Rhinolophus ferrumequinum: one gene and its partners. The protein of the gene in region 1 interacts with the protein of each later gene in a pairwise test. Links are inferred from orthologs where the notes say so. Each region holds a gene or a part of one and is shown on either strand. Other genes may lie near its edges.

Region 1 (8,349 bases):
CTCATTTCAGAGAGGAAGCTTTTAAAATCAGTGTGACTGCACTGTGCTTTCTTCCCCATTGAAGTGTTGGGAATGACTGTGGAAGCATATATCAAGATGAAACCTTCTGCAGACTCAGTTTCTGAGTGAGTACATGAAGCAAAGCCCCTTTGACTTTGAACATGTACTACAAACAAGAAATAAAGATTTTTGTTAAGCCACTAAGATTTTAGGATTGTTTGTTAATGGTGGCAAACCTAGTCTATCCTGACTGATGTAAGAATTGGCACCTAGATGTGGGGTAATGTAATGGCAACAGTAAAAGTAAACATCCATTTAGAGGGCAGTAACTAAGAGCACTGTTATCAGAAGCTAAAAGGACAGTGATCTATTTGGTGAATATATCACCTGTGACAATTTAGAAGGCGTGTCATGAACCTAATCAACTTAAAGTGAGAGACTAAAACAAAATGTTAGTAGAACGTGTTGGTGGCTGTTGGATGCATTTGGAAACTTATTATAAAAAAAAAAAGAGATGAGCTCAGAGAAGACTTGGCCGGTTTGCCAACAAGAATGAAAGAGAGTAGGGACAATCTAGAAATTCAGAGATTTGTAGGGTTAGAAGAGGCTAAGTTGTTTCTCAGTCTCAACTAGTAAAATATATAACTAAAAAATGTTTTCAGCAAGAAAAGGCAAGTTAAAATTAGCCTTGAAGTATGGATCAAGTCAAGGTATGGCCTCAAGCTTATTTATTGTTCAAACCTCTTGACAAATAAAGGTGTTACCGAGCTATGTTTTCAATTAAACAAAATGGCTCTAGAAAAGAAAGGAAAAGTGTGACTCTCACACCAAAGCTCAATAAACCCAAAGTACTCAAAACCAAGCTGGGGAGCAGGGGAATGAATATGAGAGATTGAGAGATTGAGAGAGACAGAGAGAGAGAAAGAGAGAGAGAGAGAGAGGTATTAGCAGGCAGGAGAACGAGAAAGCTAAGAAATGTGGCAAACCACAGGACTATGTCTAGAAAAGAATTGGCTCTGGCTATTGGTACATGGAATGGCTAGAATCAAACAGATAAGAAGCCTACATTTATGTGAGAGTTGTACTGCCAAAAGAACATCAGCCTGGATTAAAGGAGACTGTATTTGAGACTTAACATGACTCTGTACCCTCCCCCCGCCAATTTTTGAAAGCTTATTTAGAAATATATTTCCCAATGCCTGCTTTAGATATAGAAGAGGAAGACTCTCTCAGAGGGCAAAGCCAGGGGTCATGGGAAAGAATGGACGGGGCAGCTACACTCGGGGAGCAGAATCAGGGCCTAACTGGGGTGATGGGTAGGGGGTCCTCAGTGGATTAGTGTCTACTGTGGTCTCCCATCCCTCCACTTCCACGTGATGTATGCACGGCAGTGTATCCTGCCTCAGTCCCACCATTACATATTGAAGGTGTGCAGGGTAGACACCTTGCTTTTAGTTGATAAGTCCTATCTGGAGCTGATATAATGTCTACTACGCATCACTCAGAACCTGGAAAGGAAGCTTGATAGACTGTGACTAGATGGGTCTTTAGCGTTGTCTCCCTTGAGGAAAGGATGAGGGAACTCTGCCTGTGAGAGGACACTAAGCCAAACAGTTGGGGAACCGAAAGGGAGACTGCTCGAGTCATTAGTGTGGTTCCCCAAATCTTCCTAGCTCTCTTGGTTCAAGATACTTGGTAGGATTACAGAGATTTCAAGTTAGGCATGGCCACGGGACTTGCTTTGGCTAATGATACAGAAGTACTGTGTGTCACTTCCAGGTGGATGCTCTGAGAGCCAGTCAATGATTTCCCGCCGTCTCTCCCCGCAGCCAAGGTAATAGTAATACGCAGGTGTCGAGATGAAGCCCTCTTCAACTGGAGTCCTTGAGTGACCACCGTGAACAGAACTCCCCCATAGACCCACAGTGGGCATGTAGCATCAGCAAGAAATAAACTTCCGTGGGATAAGACACTGAGACATTAGGGTCGTGTGTGAGGGCAGCATAGCCCAGCCTTTCCTAACTGGTACAGGGAGAGAGAGGTGAGGCCTGAGAGCAGGAGCTAGACTGTGAAAAGCTCCTTCTCCCAGGCAAAGGTGTCTAAACTCTCTCCTGGTTGTAAGGGGACGGCAGTGAAGGCTTCCAAGCAGGGGCGTTAACTTTTAAACAGATCTGTTATTTTTTGGATGAAATATGCTACTTCTCAACATAAGGAGAAAATCAGCCTACTAAACCACATAAGGCAGAGAGGAACACACAGAACCCTTAGGCAAAGATATATATATTTATACAAAGTCCTAATCTTGAATTTTCTAAATACAGGAGCTCTGAAAGGAAGCTCTGAAAGGAGTTACAGCGGCGCAGGCAAGGCAATTTCTTCTGTCCCACCATCGAAGTGCCATTTCCGCTGCAGACAATATGTTACAAGAAAATCTCCCAGAGCAGAGAAGATACGAGGGAATGTAACACAGACCTGAGGTCAATTTCCAGCTGCCTGTGTGACCTGAGCAAGATACTTAACCTCTCTGGGCCTAGTCCCTCATATGTTAAATCTGGTTAATAATAAACATAGCTCTAGATAGTTGTGGGGAGAAACAGCATATTTAAATTGCTCTGGCAAATGCCTGGCTGATAATAGGCATTTAATACATGAAATTTATTTTTATTACTCTCATAAAAATTAAGAACACCAGCTCCTTGATTACAGACGAAAATGATTTAGGGTAACAGTATAGAGAATACTCCCTCCCTGAGGAAAGTAACTGGATCTTGTCATCACTGTATTCTAACCCCACCCCTACCCCCCACCCCAGCTCAGTGCCTGCCTCACAGTAGCCACTCAGTTTTCCTCTGCTGCATGACTGAATGAGAGGTGAGTGCCTGGAGTAAAGAAAAGTTGTCAAGATTTCCCTGCCACTAGCTACTGTTGGGCTGTTGAATTTTAACCCTCAAAGCCAAAAAGACCATCAGACTCTGGGCTCTAAACGCGTAAGCTGAATTCCCCGAAGTTCTGAAGTTGAGAAGCCCGAATTAGAACCTAGGGACCTAAACTGCTGCAGGTCCAACTTCAAGCCTCAGTCACGGGCAAAAGGCCCAGGAAAGGGCTGCCTTCGACCCTTTCCTCCCTCACTCCCCTTCCTTCGATGCTCCTCACAGGAGTTTTTACACCTGTTCCTGTCAAGTCACACTCTTACATCCTGGCATTCCAGGGAGGCTCTGGGAAACTCGGGGAAGGAGGCTGTTTGGTGACTACTTCCTAGCCCTGAAGGTGATGATACTACCCTAACTCTGCCCAGTGAGGTGGTTTTCACCGCCCCGCCCCCCAGCCTCCCGCACCCCCGCCGCAGATAAAGGAACTGAAAAGCTCATAGAAGTTCGGTGACTTGCTCACTTCACACCATGGCAGCGTTGGCCACGACAGAACCCACGATTCCCGACTTCGGTGTTCTTTCCACCACACACTTTTGTCCCTAAGGGGGATGGGGGTGGGGGGAGATAACAAGAGCCACCAAAAAAAAAAAAAAAAAAAAAAAAAAAAAGGAACCACTTACATGTGTCTAGCGCTTCCTAGAGGCTACACAGGATATAGGCCCAGCTCCCGGGCCAGAGCCGTGAGATTTTAAATCCTGCTTCTATCCGACTCCTCGCTGCGTGACTTTTGGCGAGTGTCCTCTCGGACTTGTTTCCCCGGAAGCAAATCACGGCGGGAGGAGTGTGAATGTCTGTGCGTGTGTGTGTATTCGTGTGATGTGTGGTGTGCGAGTTCTTGTACGGGGGCAGAGAGTAGACGATCGCCGGGGTTCCCCGAGTTTCGGATTCCCTAAACGCTTGTTCTCAACTGGACTGAGTTGCCCCCTAATTGCACCCCTTATTAAAAAAAAAATACAAAAACCCTCCCCTCCGAGACGAAGCTATGACCTCGCACCCTTTCTCCCATCGTCGGGAGGGTGAAGTGGGGGTGCCCTGAGGAATTAGCTGATCACCAGTCTCGAGCAATGCAAATCACTCGGCTTCTAGGCGCAGCCAGACAGCCCGGCGGACGGTCGCTGGTGAACTTGACCAGGAGACAAACTTCCGAGCGTACTCAACGTGGGGGGGCTGACTCTCGGAGACTGCCCCTAAACTTAAGCCCACTTTCACTTGCCCCCACGGGGGACTTAACAGAGCCACCTTAAGGGCGGTGCTCCCGCCCCCCGGAAGTGCGGGGGAGGGAAAAACCCGAGCTGTAGACCTCCCGGCCCCGCGAGGCGGCGAAACGCCGGTGGATGCTATCCAGCACCCACGAAGTGGGGAAATACCACCCGTCTCGCACCCTCGGCCCCAGACACCCGGCCAGGTTCCCCAGCCCTCCGAGTCCCCGCGTCTTCTGCATTCCGCCCCGAGACCCGAACTTGTGCCCGCTTCCATCAGAAGATGCGAGCGCCCGCGTCGGCCGGGCTCGCAGTGGCCACCGTCACTAGACAGTCAAGCCCCAAGACGTCAGCCCACAATGCACCGGGCGGGCCGGGAAAGACGCGCCGGGGAGGGAGAAGAGAGGGGCGCGAGGCGCGCGGGAGGGGGCGGGGGAGGAGGAGAAAGAAGGGCCCAACTGTAGGAGGGCAACAGAGCATTACCTCATCCCGTGAGCCTCCGCGGGTCCGGAGAAGAATCTTCTAGGGTGGGGTCTCCATGGCGACGGGCGGGCCCGCCCCCTTGAGAGCGACGCAAGCCAATGGGAAGGCCTTGGGGTGACATCATGGGCTATTTTTAGGGGTTGACTGGTAGCAGATAAGTGTTGAGCTCGGGCTGGATAAGGGCTCAGAGTTGCACTGAGTGTGGCTGTATCAGCGAGGCGGGAGTGGAGGCGCGCGGACTCAGGGAGACAGGACAGCAGTAGAGTCCGAACTGCAAATCTGATTTTCTTTTCCATTTTCTCACCAAGTGCCCAGAGCTAGCGCCTGTGGTTCCCGGGCTGGTGTTTTGGGAGAGCGTCCGAAGAGCCCCCTCTCCAGCCGACCCAAGAGGAGAACCCCACTGCCCGGGCGCCGCTGACAGCGCGGAGGGCGGCGACTGTCCCCTGGAGAAGTCTGGCGAGCCGCTGTAGCGGCAAAGAACTTTCCTGGCCCCGAGGACAAGGGACAAGTAGCCCCTGAGTCCCGGACCGAACTTTTGCAAAGCTTTCCTCCGCTCCAAGCTGCCGCGGCGGCGGTAAAGAAAAAGCGACGGAGAGAGGAGAGCGAGGAGGGACGTGCGCTCGCACCGGTTGCTGAACTTGGGCGAGCGCGAGCCTCGGCCGCCGGGCGCCCCCTCCCCCTCGCAGCGGAGGAGGGGACAGTCGTAGGAGTCCGGGCGGCGGAGACCCGCCGCTGACCGGCCACTGCGGGGTCCGCGCTGAGTGCCGCCGCCAGGAGAGCGGCTGTCGCCGGGAAGCGAGTGAGTCCGCGGGCTCCGAGGAGCCGCTGCGCAGAGGAGCGCTCAGTGAGTGACCGCGACTTTTTAAAGCCGGCAGCGCGCGAGAGCCGACAAGTAAGAGTGCGGGCGGCGTCTTAACCCTGCGTTCCCTGGAGCGCGCTGGTGAGGAGGGCGCAAGGGGGAGGACAGCTAGCGGGTGCGCGCGCTATTAGATAAACTTTCCTTGCTGAAGGCCGGGCAGGCGCGGGTGTCCCCCGCTTGCCAGCGAGCTGTTGCGGCCCCGAAACTTCTGCGCGCAGCCCAAACTAACCCCACGTGAAGTGACGGACTGTTCTATGACTGCAAAGATGGAAACGACCTTCTATGACGATGCCCTCAACGCCTCGTTCCTCCAGTCCGAGAGCGGCGCCTACGGTTACAGTAACCCCAAGATCCTCAAACAGAGCATGACCCTGAACCTGGCCGACCCGGTGGGCAGCCTGAAGCCGCACCTCCGGGCCAAGAACTCGGACCTCCTCACCTCGCCGGACGTGGGGCTGCTCAAACTGGCGTCGCCGGAGCTGGAGCGCCTGATAATCCAGTCCAGCAATGGGCACATCACCACCACGCCGACCCCCACCCAGTTCCTGTGCCCCAAGAACGTGACGGACGAGCAGGAGGGCTTCGCGGAGGGCTTCGTGCGCGCCCTGGCCGAACTGCACAGCCAGAACACACTGCCCAGCGTCACGTCCGCGGCGCAGCCTGTCAGCGGGGCGGGCATGGTGGCTCCCGCGGTGGCGTCCGTGGCGGGCGGCAGCGGCAGCAGCGGCTTCAGCGCCAGCCTCCATAACGAGCCGCCGGTCTACGCCAACCTCAGCAACTTCAACCCGGGCGCGCTGAGTAGCGGCGGCGGGGCGCCCTCCTACGGCGCGGCCGGCCTGGCCTTTCCCGCGCAGCCCCAGCAGCAGCAGCAGCCACCACAGCCGCCGCACCACCTGCCCCAGCAGATCCCCGTGCAGCACCCGCGGCTGCAGGCCCTGAAGGAGGAGCCGCAGACGGTGCCCGAGATGCCCGGGGAAACGCCTCCCCTGTCACCCATCGACATGGAGTCCCAGGAGCGAATCAAGGCGGAGAGAAAGCGCATGAGGAACCGCATCGCTGCCTCCAAGTGCCGGAAAAGGAAGCTGGAGAGGATCGCCCGGCTGGAGGAAAAAGTGAAAACCTTGAAAGCGCAGAACTCAGAGCTGGCGTCCACGGCCAATATGCTCAGGGAACAGGTGGCACAGCTTAAACAGAAAGTCATGAACCACGTTAACAGTGGGTGCCAACTCATGCTAACACAGCAGTTGCAAACGTTTTGAGGAGAGACTGTCGGGGGCTGAGGGGCAACGGAGAAAAAAAAAATGAGAGAGAGACAGACTTGAGAACTTGACAAGTTGTGAGAGAGAGAAAAAAGAAGTGTCGGAGGACTAAAGCCAAGGGTATCCAAGTTGGACTGGGTTGCGTCCTGACGGCGCCCCCAGTGTGCACGAGTGGGAAGGACTTGGCGCGCCCTCCCTTGGCGTGTAGCCAGGGAACGGCCGCCTGCGGGCTGCCCCGCTTTATGGACGGGCTGTCCCAGCGCAAACAGAACGTTAGACTTTACTTTAACATTGACCAAGAACTGCATGGACCTAACATTCGATCTCATTCAGTATTACAAGGGGGGAGGGGGAGGGGTTACAAACTGCAATAGAGACTGTAGATTGCTTCTGTAGTACTCCTTAAGAATACAAAGGGGGGAGGGGTTAGGGGAGGGGTGGCGGGAGGGAGGTTTGTGAGAGCGAGGCTGAGCCGACAGATGAACTTTCTGGCCTGCCTTCCTTAACTGTGTATGTACATATATATTTTTTTTTAATTTGATGAAAGCTGATTATTGTCAATAAACAGCTTCATGCCTTTGTAAGTTATTTCATGTTTGTTTGTTTGGGTGTCCTGCCCAGTGTTATTTGTAAATAAGAGATTTGGAGCACTCTGAGTTTACCATTTGTAATAAAGTATATAATTTTTTTATGTTTTGTTTCTGAAAATTCCAGAAAGGATATTTAAGAAAATAAAATATTGAAAAAGTACCCCTCCCCCAACCTCTTTTCTGCATTATCTATAGATTACCTATCTGGATGGAGTGGAAAGAGTTAAGAGTGTCCATTGAAATCACTCTCAGGGCTGCTTACTATCAAGCAGTAAAAACTATTCTCTACTGGGCATGAGAAATAACTGGAGCTGATGCTCTCACCAAGTTATACACTTCCCTCCCTCATTATCTATATAGAGTTGCTTACAAAGGGTAGTGTGGACCTTGAGGAGGCTGAGGGAAGGAGGGTTGTGGTGAAGAGGGATTGCCCACTGGGAAGTCCAACACTTTAAAGTTTGGATTAGAGCAAGTGGCATGTGCTGTGACCATTTATAACATTAGCAGAAATTTCACAATAGATGCTTATTTTCAAAGTAAGAATAGTGGCAGATTTTTACAAAAGATGTACCCTTCCCATTTGGAATCTTCACTTGAACAATTCCTAGGTTTAAAAAGATGGTCTTTGCTTATGAATATTTATAACAGCATTCTTGTCACAATAAAGGTATTCAAATACCAATAACATCTTGAATTCCTTTCCCTTTACTACTTTTTTCTTCCCGAGCTCTATATTGAAGCTTTTCTTTTCAGTTGCTGGGGTTGACATTACTGCCACTGAAGTTACTTGGTAATTAAGCAGAGAATTTAAGAAGGGTCAACACAGAAGTTGCAATCTGGATGAAGCAGTTCATTGTCTCTCTCTCTCTCTCTCTCTCTCTCTCACTCTCTCTCTCTCTCTCTCTCCTCTCTCAAACAACTATGCCTAGACAAATTACCAGTATAACAGTATAGCAGTTTACCATTTGGGATTCTTCTAATGTTTGTCTCTTAATTTGTTTCTAAAATAATTAACTGTGTTTAAGTAAT
Region 2 (7,912 bases), on another chromosome or scaffold:
GTCACCTGATCAGGGAGGGCTCCCCTAGTTAGGAGGGCCCCATCCCTTTCCCTCTTCCCTGCTTTGTTTTTCCCCATAGCGCTATCACTATCTGACATCCCAAACACCTCATGGACAATTTATTTGTCTGCCTGGCTCCCCCATGAAAATATAAACCCTGAGGAGGGTGGGCTGGCCTTTTGTCTGCTGTGCCCATGGCTGTATCTCCGATGCTTAGAACTATGACTGTCACACAGAAGATACTCAATAGACATTTCCGGAACGAATGAATAAATAAATGCATGCAGGAAGTGCCATTCTGGCATTAGTCATCAATCTTGCGCAATCTACAGGGTGCTGTCCCTCACGCCCATGCCAGCGTGAATTTGTTAGCCTGCAAAGCCTCTTCTTACCTCCATCCCTTAGGAAAACCATTTACCCTTCAAGACCAGCTCAGACTTTGTCTATATAACACCTTGAGGCAACTACCTGTCGTTGCCCACTATGTGTTCCCAGTGCACTTAATTCTGACTCTATCGTTCTCTCCACAGAGAATTACCGAGTCCCTTGTCTCTGTCAGACACAGTGTCAGGTGGTAGGGAAAACAGCAGGGAACAGTGGTTCCCTGCCCTCATGTTGCTTACGGTCTGGCAAGGGAGATAAGCTATGAACATCTAAATAGGTCAGTGCTAACAAGAAACATAAAGCAGAGTAATAAGGAGAGGGCTCTTTAGAGCAGATGGTTTAGAAAGGCCCCTCTAAGGAGGTGACATTTAAACCAAACAACAGGAAGGAGGTGAGGACCTAACTGGACTGCTGTCTGAGAACAGAGGGAACAGCAAGGGCAGAGCCTCTGAGGCTAGATGAGCTTGGCAAGAGAAGGCCCCGGGAGAACAGGGTGTGGGATATTAGGAGAGGAAGGCACACAGGTGGGCTTGGGCGTTGCAGAGAGCGTAGGGCCTTTGGGTGCAGAGTGCTGTGAGTTTTACTCACTTGAAGAACTAACATGTGCGCAACCCTCCCGAGGGCCAGGTCCTGAGCCCAGTGCTTAATTTCCCCCCTGGGACTGAACTGGTAGTTGTCCTTTCTCTCTGCACAGAGGAAGAAGGGAAGGCTCCAAGGGTCAGGTTACCATCCAAGGTCAAGTTACCATCCAAGGTCAAGAGGCGAGTGCAGGTGCAGCCCTCCCCTGCCCCACTGGGCTCCTTTGCCTTCTTTAGTTTCCACATGGATCCTGCCAGGGGGCAGGTATTTTTGTCCGTTTTCAGATGGGGACGGTGAAACTCAGCAGAAGAAGCAACTTGCAGCTAATGAGTGCCACAGCTGGGACTCTAAAGCCAGCGCATCTTAACCCTGAACCAGAGTTTCTCATAGTGTGGTCTTGGCCACCCACATCAGAACCCTGAGAGGCAGGGTGAGTAATCACAGTGCAGCTCCCTGGGCCCCATCCCAGCCTCCTGAGGTGGGGCCTGGGGCGGGGAGGAGGGGCAGGGATCCACATTTTAATGAGTGCCTCAGCTGGTTGCTGTGCTGGATTCTCCCAGTTTGCCTCTACTTCCTGTCTCCTCGCGCTAGACTGGGGGCTGCTAGAAGGCAGGGCCAGCTATGGATACACCTTTTGTCCCTGGAACCCAGCATGTATCTGGCACACAGTTTGCACTCAACACCCAGGAATTTCCAAATCTTAGTGGCAGAGTCCTTCCTTCCTCCCAAACTCAGTCACCAGGGAACACACAGCAGTGTAGGGGGAACCATTCCTAGGCAGATGGAGAAGAGGCAACTGGGCCAGGTGAGTGCAGGCAGAATCAGGGAGGGAAGCATCTCCCACCTGGTGCAGGGCGTCTGCCTTGTCTGTGTGCTTCTGCCGGCTGCGCTGGGCAGATGTCCGATTCCTCTGTTTCTTCTTCAGCTGCCTCTGATGCTCCTCTGGGTCCTGGCAGGGACTTGCGCCCTCCGTCCTGGCCTTCTGTAAAGCCGTGACATTCCTGAGTCCAGTCCCCGAAGGTCCCTTTCTCCCAGAAGCCATCTCTGGCTCCCTTGGTGTTCACACACCCCATCACAGGCACAGGACGCGTCATTGGCATGCCAGCCTCATTCGATCTCATGTTGGGGGAGGACAAGTGAGGAAGCTGGGAGCCTGGGACTCCAACTCAGAGGGACCTGACTTCACACCCAGGCTCTCCTTACCAGCTGGGTTACTCCAGGCAAGTCACTCACTACTCTGAGCCCAGCTACCTCATCCATTCAATGGAGTAACTTCCTCACAGACCATAAAGGGCCAGGGCCCAGGGCCAGCCCAGAGCCAGGGGTTAATATAATAAAGGTCAGCCGCTGATGTTCCCATCGCTATTATTTGCATGGTCAAGGTCAAGGTGTTGATTTCCCTAGCTATGAGTTCCACCTGTGAGGGCAGAGCTGGGGTCTGACTCTGCTCCAATGAGCCCAGGCCCAACTTAAGCCCAAAGCTGATAGTCACCTACTCAACAAATAGTTATTGTGCAGCTACTGTGTGCCAGGCACTGAGCTAGGAGGACACAGCAGTGAACAAAACAGGCAAAACTCCCTGCCATCAAGTTGCTCACATTCTAGTGGAGCAGCAACCTAGAATGAATGCACAAAGTCAGTTCTGATGGAAGAATGGACTCCACAGCTGTGACTCTTCCCAGACCCTGACCCCAGGTTAGGGATATAACTCAATATGCCCAGGAACTTTGGAAGGTCAGACAAGAGGGAATGTTGGAGACCCTGCAATCCCACCTCCCCTCTCCTAGGCCTCTCTGGGAAGGGCGTTGTAAAGAGCTCAGGCAAGACTCTGAGCTCCCTGGCTGAGGATGCCGTGCTCCTGGGTCCATGGCCACAGCAGGCTCATTACAGGTGCTGGGGGTGCCAGGAGACTGGAGCTTGAGGGAAAGACCAGCAGTGAGAGAAGTGGGTAGCCTCTGGTACCTGGGTCCTGGGAAAGGGGCAGGGCCTCTAAGTGGAACCATGCTGGAGAATTTGGGGAGGGAAGACAGGCTACATGAAGGGTAGTGAGGGGAGGACAGGTGGGTTAGGAGACAGCGGTATTCAGAGGTCAAGTTCTAACCTGGAGGCTGGATCTGCAAATGAGAGCTGGAAAGCCCTTTCCAATCCTTGACGAAACTGAAGGCCAGAGAGAGGGTATGTGAAGCCCATGGTCACATAGCCCATGTGCACAGAACTGGGATGAGATGCTCTGACCACCTGCTCCCCACCTGGGCCCTGGGGACTCTCAGGCACATTCCCTTTCTCCTCCCCCCGTCCCTGGTTTCCTGTACTCACCGTACCAGTTAGGAGCCCTTCACCCCCGCAGAGGTGCATGGCTTGGGCAGGGGGCAGAGGCTCACATCTGGTTCAGGGTGTCCCTCGGCTGCTGTGACCTCCCAGTGCCCTCTGGGGACCCAAGGAAGTGGCGGCTCTTTAAAACCCCGGTGACCACTCCGCCCCCAGCAAGCCAAGTTTCAGTTTCTTCTAAAGCCACCGGCTGCTCAGAATCCTTGGCTCGGGTTAGCTCACGTGGCTGGAATTTCCTAGTATGAACTAGCCTTCCGGTTGGGCCCCTTCTCTGGGAGGAGGACGGTGGGGGGTGGCCAGAGGAGGGGAGACCAAAGCCAGGTGTGAGGAGGGTGTTCTGGGGGCAGGAGGGCAGGCTGCCAGGGACAGAACCAAGAAGGAAAGGCAGTGAGGTACCAAGGGCTCATAGAAGATAAGGGAGAGCCTCTGGGTTCTGGAATATGAGGAGCCCAGGTTCATAGCCCACCCAAAACCACAGCACATTGGAGCTGTGCAGCTTTGAAAAGGTGGTTCACCCTCTCTGACCTTTAGTTTCCTCATCTGTAAAGGGTGTTGGGGGTGATACAAATATCCACTCACAGGCTTAATGTAGGAACCAAGCAAGATAACATAACACCCCAAACCCTGTGAGACCAACATCGAGTCAAAAATAAGCAATGGCTTTTACTTAGGAGAACAGATGGATCAATGACTGTGTTTCCATTCAACAGGCCACACAGCAGTAGAAAGAGTGATGTTTAGCAGTCAGGAGCACAGCTTCCAAGCTATGTGACTCGGATACGTGATTTCACCTTTCTGTGTCACTGTTTCCAAATCTGTAAAGTGGGGATAAAAACAATTTTGTCATGAAGATTAAAGGAGTAAAGGCATTATCCTCTCCTCAGCCTAGAATTGGGCATAAAAACCAGTCTCAGCTTTTGTTAGAAGACTTGACTCTGACACCTGACACTCTACTCACCAGGTCTATCTAACACCTGGAGCCTCAGTGTTCTCATATATTTGCTGGGCCGAAATCATACCTATTTTACAAAGTTGTCTTGAAGATGGAAACGAAGGGGAAGAGAAGAAAGTTCTTTGCATATTGGAAAGTAATATTTGGCTAGAATCCATTCCTGTTCCTGAGATTTGTGGGAACGTAGGATTAATGCAGGTTCGTAATTTAAAATGCCTGGGTGTGTGGGATTGGGCATGACAGCTGGGCCTGGCCCTCCTTGCTTGTGAGGGACCTGGGAGTCAGGATGAAGTAGGGGCACCCCAGGTAGTGAGGCTGCCCGATTTCTCCGAATTATTTTTGTTTCCCAGAAATCAAGAGGCCTGGGTATCTTGCCTGAGGTACCTAGGGACTCATTAAGCCTGTCCATGAGCTCTACAGGGAGCCACATGCATGATGTAACCAAGAAAAACCATCTTGAAGTGGGTGACTAGGGCCTGATTGTCCCCACCCCAGCCCCCAGCCCCAGACCTGAACCCCAGTCTTCCCCTCTCCAGACCCCGGTTTCATCAGCAAGTGTACCTGTGGCCCCTCCCAGAAGGCCTCCACCCTGGAGGAAGACCAAAGAAGGCAGTGTTTATGGCTTGATATCCCTGAGGAGTGGCAGGGAGGGATGGACATGGCGTGGGTAATGTTTAACTATGAGTGGCTGTGCAAGCCTTCCCCGCAGAGGTGGACTCCCTCCCCGGCTGGCAGAATAGGCTGCGAGGCCATCCAGTGCAACTTCTCACTGAGAAGGTGAGGATGCCAATGCCTGAGAGGCAAGATTGCCTGGCAGGAGGGGGCAGAGCTGGAGGGAGGACACGCCTCTCTCCACAAGCCCTCAGTCCTCCTCCACCCCCACCCAGTTTGGAAGGGCCTGGTTCAAAGCCTACAGCCCTGGTAAGTGAAGGCTTGGAGGCCTCCCAAAACCAGAGCTACAGAATGAGCTCCTGAGCAGCAGAACCACTACCTGTCTTACTCTCTAAAGTATCCTCGGTGCCTCAAACACTGCCTCCACATAATGGGTGCTCAACTAATGAATACATGAAGTCCAGCAGGCAGCTTGCCATCCGAGAACCCCAAAAGCTTCCTGGATGAGTAAAGAAAGCTCGGCTTTGCTCATTCCCACAGGACCTGCCCTGGGTTCTTCGGGGACTATTTCTAACGAACCCCCTCATTTTACCATTGAGGAAACTGAGGCACAGGGAGGGGACAGTCACATGGCTGGTGTGGGAGAAGTTAGGATGCCCTGATGCCCTGTCCCAATCCCTTCCCACACCTCCTGTGATTGGAGAGATGCTAGGGGTCTCCAGATGCCCAGGGAGGAGGCCCTTCTTTCTAAGTCCTCTAGCATGTGCGCCCCTCATTTGAGGCCTGGTCTCCTAAGGGCACCTCAAAGGAGCTTCAGACAATGGGTAGCAGAGAAAGAGGCCCGCTGGTTGCTGGTGAGGCTGAGGTACGAAGCTATTGACTTCCCACTTGCAACTGTGGATGGGCCGGCCTGGGAGCTAAGCCTCAGCTGGGACGGGTTTACAACCCAGCAGGGTGTGGGCCTCATGCAGGGCCCATGACCGGCAGGCAGGAGGGTAAGGGCCGCAGCGGGTACTTCATGTTGGGGAGACCAGAGAAGGCTTTCCAGAGGAGTGGGTGGGCTCAATCCCAGACCTGGAACTTGATCCTGGGCAAGTAACTTAACTTCCTTATGCCTCATCTGTAAAATGGGGATGATAATATAAGGATTTGATGAAGTAATATATGTTAGGGGTTTAGAACAGTGCCTGGCACAAAGTAACTCACACAAACCTCTGTTAAAATTTTAACAAAAGCACTCAATAAACACCTGATGAATTTTTTGTTCACATCACAATAGGCTTGTATTTTACTTCATTATTATTATTAATTTTAAGAAAAAATGGAGGAGTATAAGAACAGGGATGAGTTTTTCCTAACGAAGTATCTTTGTAATGAAAAAAAGAGAAGTTAATGATTGCATCCATGTGTAACAAGCAGCACTTAATATTTAGTGTGAATTGCTCAAAATTTCTCAATCATACAAAGGAATCTCAATAAGAGAGGGGAAACTAGGGTTCTCTGAATTCTTAGTTTTATAAACGATTTACCTGAAGTTTAATTACTAACAAGTCTAAAGTGTACCAGCTTCAGGCACGGCTGGATCATGATGCGCAAAGTCATCAGGAGCAGTGTCTCACCCTATCTGCTCTGCTTTGCGCTGGCTACATCCTCATGCAGGGACCACTCATGTAGTAAGATGGCCACCAGAAACACCAGCTTAGCTGCCCCAGGACAGGGGCGTATCCCTTGGCACTTTCTCAATACAATGGTACCTCGGTTTTCCAACGTAATCCGTTCCGGAAGACCGTTTGCGTTCTGAAACGTTTGAAAACCAAGGCGCGGTTTCCCCATAGAAAGTAATGCAAAATGGATTAATCCGTTCCAGACCTTTAAAATCAATCCCTAAAACAGCAATTTGGCGTGAATTTTACTATCTATTGATACCATAGATCCATAAACTTTACAGCATTCGTAAACCAAAATGTTTGTCAACGGAGACATTCGAAAACCGAGTGTGGGGACAGAGCCAGGAGTGCAGTTTCCAGGCCCTCGGTCTCACGTGGAAAGGTGCTGGCTCGGGTAATAGATGGCCGTCAGCTGTGGCTAGTTGGCCATCGGCTGTTACCGGTTAGACATTAGCCACTAGCCACTGATATAACTGCCGTAGCTAAGCTAGCAAGGTGTGGTGTGGTGGTGTGGCGTCCTGGCGTGGCGTGGCGTGGCGTGGCGTGGTGGAGTGTGGATTACCAATTGCAGAGAGGCGGATTGCAGCTAACAAGTGAGGTGGGTTGGCAGAGACAAGTGGACGAGGGGGTTGCGGATCGTGTGGCTCCTGCTCCTGTGTGTCCCCCAGCCGCCAGTGACACTACAGTGGTGTGACTCCCCTATCTACGGCTCGGTGGGTGTTCCTTTTTGGCCTAGCCACATCCTGCGTTCTTATGTGGGGAGCAGGACTAGAGACCCCGCCTGCCACCCTGCATGACACCGAGGTACTACTGTAGTTCCAACAAAGGGCCCAGGCCTGGCTCTCCTTGGATTGGCTTGAGTTGTGTGGCTAATTCACAGCGACAGGAGTCGCTGTGTGCAGGAGATAAAGGTGAGACAGGCAAGGCCAGGTCCCAGGCCCATCCTAGATAGGGTCAGCCTCATCTTCACCATAAGGCCCAGGGGTGATGAAAGGGTAACTCCCACAGGGTATTGGGGTGCTACTGGCAGGAAAGGGGTAACCAAGGCTGGGCTGATGTCACCAACGTGGCTCAGATTCAGGTAGGAGGAAGCTGCCACTTGGAGGTACATCCCTTGGCTGAGTCACATTCCCAGGTGGGACGAACTCAGTGCCCCGCGTGCATCTGACACCAAGCCCAGCACTCTCGCTTTGCTTCACAGGGACCTGTGGGCAGGAAAGCAAAGGCGTGCTGAGGAGGCAATTCCAAGAGAACTGAATGCTGGGCAGGGACTGTGGGCGCGGACTTTGTGGGGACTCCCCAGGGCACAGGGAGGAAAGGACTGACTCACTTCAGCATGACACCTTGCGAGTGCTCATTAAAGCTGGAATCCACAAATAGCCAGGCCTCC
Region 3 (7,458 bases), on another chromosome or scaffold:
TCTGTCTCCGGATTTGTCCATTTCGGACATTCCATAGAAATGGAGTCATACGGAATTCGTCCTTTTGTGTCTGGCTTCTGCCACTCAGCGTGATGTTGTACGGGTCATCCACGCTGTAGCTCGTGTGGGTGCTTCATTCCTTCTATGGCCAGATCACATCCAGTGTGCTGTACGCATGAACCGGATTCTGTGTATCCGTTCGCCCACTGCTGGACACTGGGTTGTTTCCACGTTTTGGCAGCTGTGAACATGAGTGCACAAGGATTGATTAGAACACTCGTTTTTGATTGGTCCCTCTTTCTAAGGTGCCACCACCCCTGAGCCCCACTCCCTGTCCTGTCACCTTTTATTGTCGGGGCACGTTTACTCTTCCTTATGTGTTTGCTCCCGTCTACGGCCCCTTCTGGTTGAATGAAAGCTCAGTGGAGGCAGAGCCCTGGTCTTGCTTTTCTCAATCTCCTTTGCCAAGAACAGCCCCCGCGCACATTAGGGGCTCAGACCTGCTTCGGAGCGAGTGGCTGATGTGACCACATGAAGGAAACAGGCCTTCGGGGTTCCCTTGGCCCCTGGACTTGGAGGCTGCCCGGGGCCCTTTCTGAGTGGCCAGGCCTGGCCCGGCTCCCCCTTGCAGTGACCGTGCCCACTTCTGTGCCTTCAGTTCTGTCACCTGCGCATTTTCCTGTGTCCCAGGTCATCAACTTCCCCTTTCCAACTCCTCCCTCTGTGGAGGCCCTCATTGCTGCCGAGGAGCTGTTGATCTCGCTGGGTGCCCTGCAGGTGCCCCAGAAAACAGAAAGGTAGGGCAGGGGCTGGTGGGGGGAGCCCAGTTCCCGCCCCGTTCTTGGCCCTCTCCCCTCTCCTGAGCTGCCCTGAGCACCGGGGCCTCTTAGCTCTGGCGCTAAAGCCTCCTCTGTCCTCCAGGATGAAGCAGCTGCAGAGGTCCCGGCTGAGCTGCCCCATCACCGCGCTGGGCAGGACCATGGCCACGTTCCCCGTGGCGCCCCGCTATGCCAAGATGCTGGCACTGAGCAGACAACACGGCTGCCTGCCCTACGCCATCACCATTGTGGCCGCCATGACCGTGCGGGAGCTGTTCGTGGAACTGGACAGGTGGGGGCGGGGGGCTGTGCGTTCCGGCCTCATGCTCAGGCTGACGGGGTGCGCTGGGCTGAGAGAGGGCCTGGAGCCCGGCCTCTGAGGGAATAACTGGATCACTGGGTGGTCTTGTGCAAGACCCTCATTCTCCAGAGCTCCAGTGTTCTGGTCGCTACAGAACGTGTTCTAAGGAAATTCCTCGCGCAAAGCTGATACAAGGCTCTGTAGCATGATGGCTAAGAGCCCAGGCTCTGGGCCAGACTGCCTGGGTTCAAATCTCCCTCTGCTACTCCCCAGCTGTGTGGCCTTGGGAAGGTGACTTCACCTCTCTGTGCCTCATCTTCCCCATCTGGGAAATGGGGATGAGATGTTATTAATAACTGAGTTGTTGTTAGGGTTACGTTAGTTAACATAAGGGACTTCAAAGTATACCTGACACCTGCCTGAGTGTCATTACTTTCAGGTTTGGGAACCAGGGGAAAATTCGTTTATCCAGTCCATACTTGGTGTATATTTCAGCATTTTTCAGGGTTTTTTTTTTTTTATTACTATTTGTAAGCTGCACGGCATTGTGCAATGTTACTCATTTGTAGGATTGTGTCTTTACATTGATCTCTAAATGTGAAATCGTGGGTAGGAGGCATTCACATTTTTTATCTTGTTGGCTACCGGAGGTGAATTTTAGGGTAAATTTTGAGCCAGAGCTGAAGACCTTGATCATGTTAGCGACCCCACCGGGCATGGATGGTCTCTGTCCCTGAACCTGTGCGCCTCCTGCCCCTGTGGCCCTCAGCCAGGACGACAGTCAGGTGGTGTATGTGTTTGCAGACCAGCGTCCAGCGACGAGGAGCGGGCCACGCTGAAGGGCAGACGTGCCCGGGTGGCCCTGATGAAGAGGACCTGGGCAGGACGAGGCGCTTCCCTGAAACTCGGAGACCTCATGGTGCTGCTGGGTGTGTGCCCCAGCCAAGGGGGGCGGGCCCGTGGGACCTGGGGGACAGTCAGTGAGTGCGTCCTCGTCCACAGGTGCCGTGGGGGCCTGCGAGTACGCGGGCTGCTCGCCTCAGTTCTGCGAGGTCAGCGGCCTGCGGTACAAGGCTATGATGGAGATTCGACGCCTGCGGGGCCAGCTGACCACCGCAGGTACGGCCCACACACCCGCCTCTGGGGCTCCCCAGGACTCCTGCCACAGGCGGCCCCCAGCACAAACGGGACTAATGTTTAAAGCTCTTCTCATCGACGTTATCTGTGCACAGTCATTCCCCAGTTATCACAGGTCCCACGTGTACACATTCACCTCGCTGAGACTGATCGTAACCCTAAGTCAGTACTTGGCGCCTCTGCGGTCCTTTGAGGACCCGCCAGTGAGCAGGCGCGCACACCTCGGCCTCATCCTTTCCAGTGCGGTCCCTCGCGTCACCCTCTGTCCCTGGCTCTGATCTGGACCAGCTGCCCCTGGGCATCCCCAGTTTCACCCTTGGGTTCCCTGATCCCACGTAGGGTCTGACCCTGGCTTCACGGGGTCTCCAGAGGCCCACACATTTCTGGGCTGCTGTCTTGCCAGCCTTGCACGTGGCTTCCATCCTCGAGGCCACCTCAGGGACCGAGAAGACACTGGGAGATCTAATCACACCTGCTTTCCAGGCAGGAGGAAGGGGCCAGAGGAGCGTTCCAAAAATTCCAGCCGGCAACTCCATCGTCATATCAGGGGCAGGACCGAGTCCCGGCGCCACCCTGGCATCTGAGGGGGTGGCTTCTTGGCAGCTCACTCTGCCACCCACAGAGGAATATTGGGGTTTTGTCCTAAGGAAGAAGAGGGCGTGGCTATGGCGTGGGCAGCTGGTTCTGCCCCGCTGAGGGCTTTGTCTCCCGCCCACCCAGCAGCCTCGGTGGAAATGGGCTGAGAGGAACAGGTGCTGAGGCCAGAGCTCAGCATTGAGTGGTGTCGGGGCTTCCCAGAAGGTCAGCCCGAGACCGCAGGTCCCACCATTGTCCACTGCTGTCCTCACACCTGGCTTTTCCCCCAGTCAATTCTGTGTGCCCTGAGGCTGGGCTCTTTGTGGACCCCAAGATGCAACCTCCTTCCGAGAGCCAGGTGACCTACCTGCGGCAGATCGTGACGGCCGGCCTGGGCGACCACCTGGCCCGCAGGGTCCAGAGCGAGGACCTGCTGGACGACAAGTGGAAGAATGCGTATAAGGTCAGATTCCAGCTCGGGAGCAGGCAGCGTGGCAGGCGTTATGCCCGGGCTCCCCTCTCCACCCCACCCTCCATCTGTCTCGAGTCCTGCCAGCCTGGGCACTTGTGATGCCTGCCTCTGGGCATTGTCGGGACACCTAGAGCAGCCAGGGGACCCTTGCGGGGACCTGTCCTCGGTCCTGTCACTGCAGCCTCTGGGAAAGTCCCCACCAAGGAACAGGATGGGGTGTACAGGAGTCACACTTCCTTTGGGGATTAGCTTCACCCCAAGTCTATTTTCATAACTGCTTAATGGAGAGAGGAATCACAAAGTGGACAATTCACCATTTTAAAGTGTACAATTCAGTGGTTTTTAGCATATTCACAGAGTTGTATAACCATCACCACGATCAATTCTGGAATATTTTCATCGCCCCAAAAAGAAACCCCGTCCCCATTATCAGTCTCTCCATTTTCTCCTAACCCCCCACCCCCCACTCCGTGAATTGCCTTTTTGTCTCTACGGCTTTGCTGATTCCATATATTTCGTGTCAGTGGAAGCATACACTGTGGCCTTTTTTTGTCCTGCTTCTCTCAGTCAGCATGGTGGTGAGTGAGGCACGTGTCAGTACCTGTGTCGGCGTCTTCGCTCAGCTGAATACTGGTCCCCGGTACGGACACGCCGCTCGTCACCTGGCAGAATGCTCTTCCGCTTTCCCAGCCGCACGTGCAGCTGAATTCACATGGGTTCCTGCACCTGTGCTTGTGTCTGCGACACACACCACTCACCCTCTCTTTGCAGACCCCCCTCCTCGATGACCCTGTCTACATCCACCCCAGTTCCGTCCTTTTCAAAGAGCTGCCCGACTTTGTGGTCTACCAGGAAATTGTGGAGACCACCAAGCTGTACATGAAAGGTAGCAAAGCCGGTGGCCGGCCCCTCGCCCTGCTCACGGGCTCTGGGGAGCTGTGACGCCAGGGCCCTTGGTGGGGAGGACACAGCCCCTCCCAGACAGCTTGGTCACTGTCATCCTCAGCCCTCTCTCCTGGGCCCCCAGGTGTCTGCACCGTGGAGGCCCAGTGGATCCCAGCCCTGCTGCCTGCTTACTGCCAGTTCGAAAAGCCCCTGGAGGAGCCGCCCCCTGCCTACTGCCCCGAGAAGGGGCGGGTGTTGTGTCACCGGGCCAGCGTGTTCTGTGAGTTGGGGCAGCTTCCTGGTGGCCTTGGGCTCCCGTGGACACGGTCCCACACCCTACACTGGGAAGTGTGTGTGTGTGTGTGTGTGTGTCTCAGGTGGTGTCACCACAGGCCCCCGGCTCCGGCTGGTTCTGGGGAGGATGTGGGGGTCCCTCACGGTCCCTCGCTTACTGGCTGCTGCCGTCCAGATCGCGTCGGCTGGCCACTGCCCGCGGTCCAGGTGGATTTCCCGGAGGGCCTCGACTGCTACAAGCACTTTGCCCGCTTTCTGCTGGAAGGGCAGGTAGGGAGCCCGGTGATTCCCCGCCCCGTCCTGGGTGCTGTGGGCGGGAGGTGAGCCAGGTGACCCCTCACCCTGCCCTGTGCGCTCTCCTCAGGTCTTCCCCAAGCTGGCCTCATACCAGGGCTGTTTGCTGTCCAGCCCCAGCACGATGCTGAAGACGTGGGCCAGGTACAGCCTTTCCCGGCAGCACCAGGGTGGCGGGGGGTGGCGGCAGGAGCTGGGATTGGTGTCCTGGACCACCATAACCAGTCACCACCAACTGACTGGCTTAGAACAACAAATGTATTCTCAGTTCTGGAGGCCAGAAGTCTAAAATCCAGGTGTCAGCAGGGTTGGGGGCTCTAGGGGAGGCTCCTTCCCTCCTCCCCCAGCTCCTGGTGGCTGCAGACATTCCTTGGCTTGTGGCCACATCACTTTGATCCCTGCCACTGTCTTTACATGGCTGTCCCCTCATGTCCTCTCTTGTAAGCACATCATGGGTTCAGGGCCGACCCCACTTCAGTATGACTTCATCTGAATTGCATCTCCAAAGCCCCTCTTTTCAAATAAGGTCACATTCTGAGGTTCTGGGTGGATGTGGACTTTTGGGGAGACATTGGTCAACCCACTACACAGCTGCCAGGTGCCAGGAGGAGGTGTTCTACATGCTTGCGTCCCTAGGGGCTTCCTGCCAGCTGCGCACAGGCCCACCCAGTCCCGCCCATCACCACCATCCTCCTCTGCCCTGCCTGTCCCTGCTCCTCCCTTTTTGTTCTCTTTCCACCTTGGCCAGCTCCAAGTGGACGCCTCCCCCTCCCTGAGGCTGGCGTCTGGAAGGTGCACGGGAGGGGTCTTGGAAGCAGATGGGTGCAAGTCCACCCTCTCACTCCCTCACTCCAGGGACTCAGGAGGAGGGTGTGGGGCCAGGCGCCCCCTGCCAGGCTGCTGCCAGCCAACTGTTCACCCAGCAGCTGGTTTTGATCACCCTCTCTGCTGGGATACAGGCAGGACCCTGTCCCTGTGGGGACGTCCGGTGCAGGGAGACTGACACCAAACAACACAGCTAGTACACATGGCGGGTGGTGACGCGGCTACAGAGCAGGACGTTAGCGATGAGGTGTGGGGCCTGGGGGGGTTGGTCAGGAGAGCCTGACTGGGCAGATTCGGAGGAGGCCGCTGTGAGCCAGGTGGAAATCTGGAGGAAGGTTCTAGATGGGACGAGCAGCATGGGTGGGGGAGTGCTCAAGGAGTAGAAGAAAGGCCAGGGCGGGCGGACCAGAGGCAGGTAGGAGGTGGTGACGTCTAGAGCCTTCCATCGAGCCACGGCACCCAGCATGGTGGAGGAACAGGGATCCTTTACCCACCAAGGCAGGGCTGCCTGCCCCCTCCCACAGCGGGCAGCCCTGTGGGTGGCATAATGCCCTCCATCCCTTCCCACAGGCTGCAGCCCAGGACAGAGAGTCTCCTGAGGGCCCTTGTGGCCGAGAAGGCCGACTGCCGAGACGCCTTGCTGGCTGCTTGGAGGAAAAGCCCCAAATGTGAGTTTGACGGGCAGGTGCCCCTTAACCAGGGCTTGGGAGCGGATGGGACGGGGTCTGCCCAGGCAACCCAGGGTTGGCAGGGCAGCTGGGCACAGAGCCATTCTGACGCTGTCTTCTGCCCCTGCAGACCTACTGGCTGAGTACTGCGAGTGGCTCCCCGAGGCCATGCACGCCGATGTGGAGAAAGCCTGGCCCCCAACCTCTGACCTCTGACGTCTGACCTGGTGCCTGGCCTGCCGGCCAAGCACCACATGTGAGCAGCCAGTTTCTGACATGATACCCCTTGGCCCCTGGACTTCACCCAGGAGGCAGCCTCTGGAAACCCTCTTTCATCTTGGCCCGGTTCTGACACAGCTTGCTGCCTGCCGCCGTGGGCAATCTGCCCTGGCGGTGACTTTTTATAACTATTTATTACGTGGTGGGTAACAGTTTATCTCACGTGCGAGTCCCCTTTTCAATGTGCTCTGTGGACTACATTAGTCCCTTGTGGAGCTGGAGGGTGAAGTGGCTGAGAGCAGGAGGCGGTGACTGCAGGGCCTCCTCCCAGCGCCCCCCCTTTGGGGGTGCGGTACACCCACCCTACAGTGAGGGGGGCCCAGGCTCCTGTGGAGTGGGGCGCAAGGCGTGGGTGTCTCCTCCCCAGGGGCAGCTGTCGCCTATGTTGCTGTAATAAATCTTGGCGTGTGAGTCCAGTGAGTCCTAACGAATCTCTGAATGGGGGGGGTCTTGGGTACATCCGTATAGAAACTGGTCTGGGTGGGTCCTGCCCCAGGTGTTAGTGGCGGTCTGGCACTGTGAGCCTGCAGGGTGTTGATTTCCTCTCACTTAGGTCGTTTTCTGAAATCAATCTGTACTCCTACCAGAATATAAATGCAAAATAAACGAACAAGTTCCATAATGTACATACGTAAGTAAGACAAAACTCCCAAGATACGTGTTTAATATTCCAAAGCTATTCATTTTCCCCACTTCCTGGTCACTAACCCCAGATAGGTCTCTCTTTCCCTGCCCCTGCTCTCCCACACACACACATTCAAGGCATGGGCAAGTTCTGTCACTACCTCCAGAGTTTGTCCAGCGCCCCGTCATGCTCCACCTCCACCAGGGTTAGGCTGTGCTGTGACTTCCTGGTGGTTTGGGGTATTCTCCACCTGGCCGCTAGAGGTAAACCTTAATCGGATCATA

Evidence for each region.
Region 2: the proteins of JUN (region 1) and BATF2 interact in binary tests that used the Homo sapiens proteins (3 or more experiments, as listed by UniProt). The link is inferred for Rhinolophus ferrumequinum from reciprocal best matches to the Homo sapiens genes JUN and BATF2.
Region 3: the proteins of JUN (region 1) and UBC interact in a two-hybrid assay, tested with the Homo sapiens proteins (2 studies listed by BioGRID and IntAct, with this or other methods). The link is inferred for Rhinolophus ferrumequinum from reciprocal best matches to the Homo sapiens genes JUN and UBC.

What each region holds. Positions count from the first base shown.
Region 1 is NC_046292.1:42,541,165-42,549,513, reverse strand, and holds JUN (transcription factor Jun), read left to right. Parts: upstream 1-4,799; 5' UTR 4,800-5,725; coding exon 5,726-6,730; 3' UTR 6,731-7,318; downstream 7,319-8,349. UniProt on the Homo sapiens protein: Transcription factor that recognizes and binds to the AP-1 consensus motif 5'-TGA[GC]TCA-3'.
Region 2 is NC_046294.1:6,592,159-6,600,070, reverse strand, and holds the start of BATF2 (basic leucine zipper transcriptional factor ATF-like 2), read right to left. Parts: upstream 3,503-7,912; 5' UTR 3,319-3,502; coding exon 3,280-3,318; intron 1,946-3,279; coding exon 1,808-1,945; intron 1-1,807.
Region 3 is NC_046308.1:3,432,241-3,439,698, forward strand, and holds the start of UBC (polyubiquitin-C), read left to right. Parts: upstream 1-3,956; 5' UTR 3,957-3,961; intron 3,962-4,075; coding exon of another isoform or gene 4,076-4,190; intron 4,191-4,331; coding exon of another isoform or gene 4,332-4,469; intron 4,470-4,658; coding exon of another isoform or gene 4,659-4,753; intron 4,754-4,847; coding exon of another isoform or gene 4,848-4,921; intron 4,922-6,172; coding exon of another isoform or gene 6,173-6,270; intron 6,271-6,400; coding exon of another isoform or gene 6,401-6,486; exon of another isoform or gene 6,487-6,982; intron 6,983-7,458. Other genes in the region: probable ATP-dependent RNA helicase DHX37, read left to right, coding at 691-797, 922-1,110, 1,924-2,048, 2,122-2,238, 3,123-3,295, 4,076-4,190, 4,332-4,469, 4,659-4,753 and 3 more.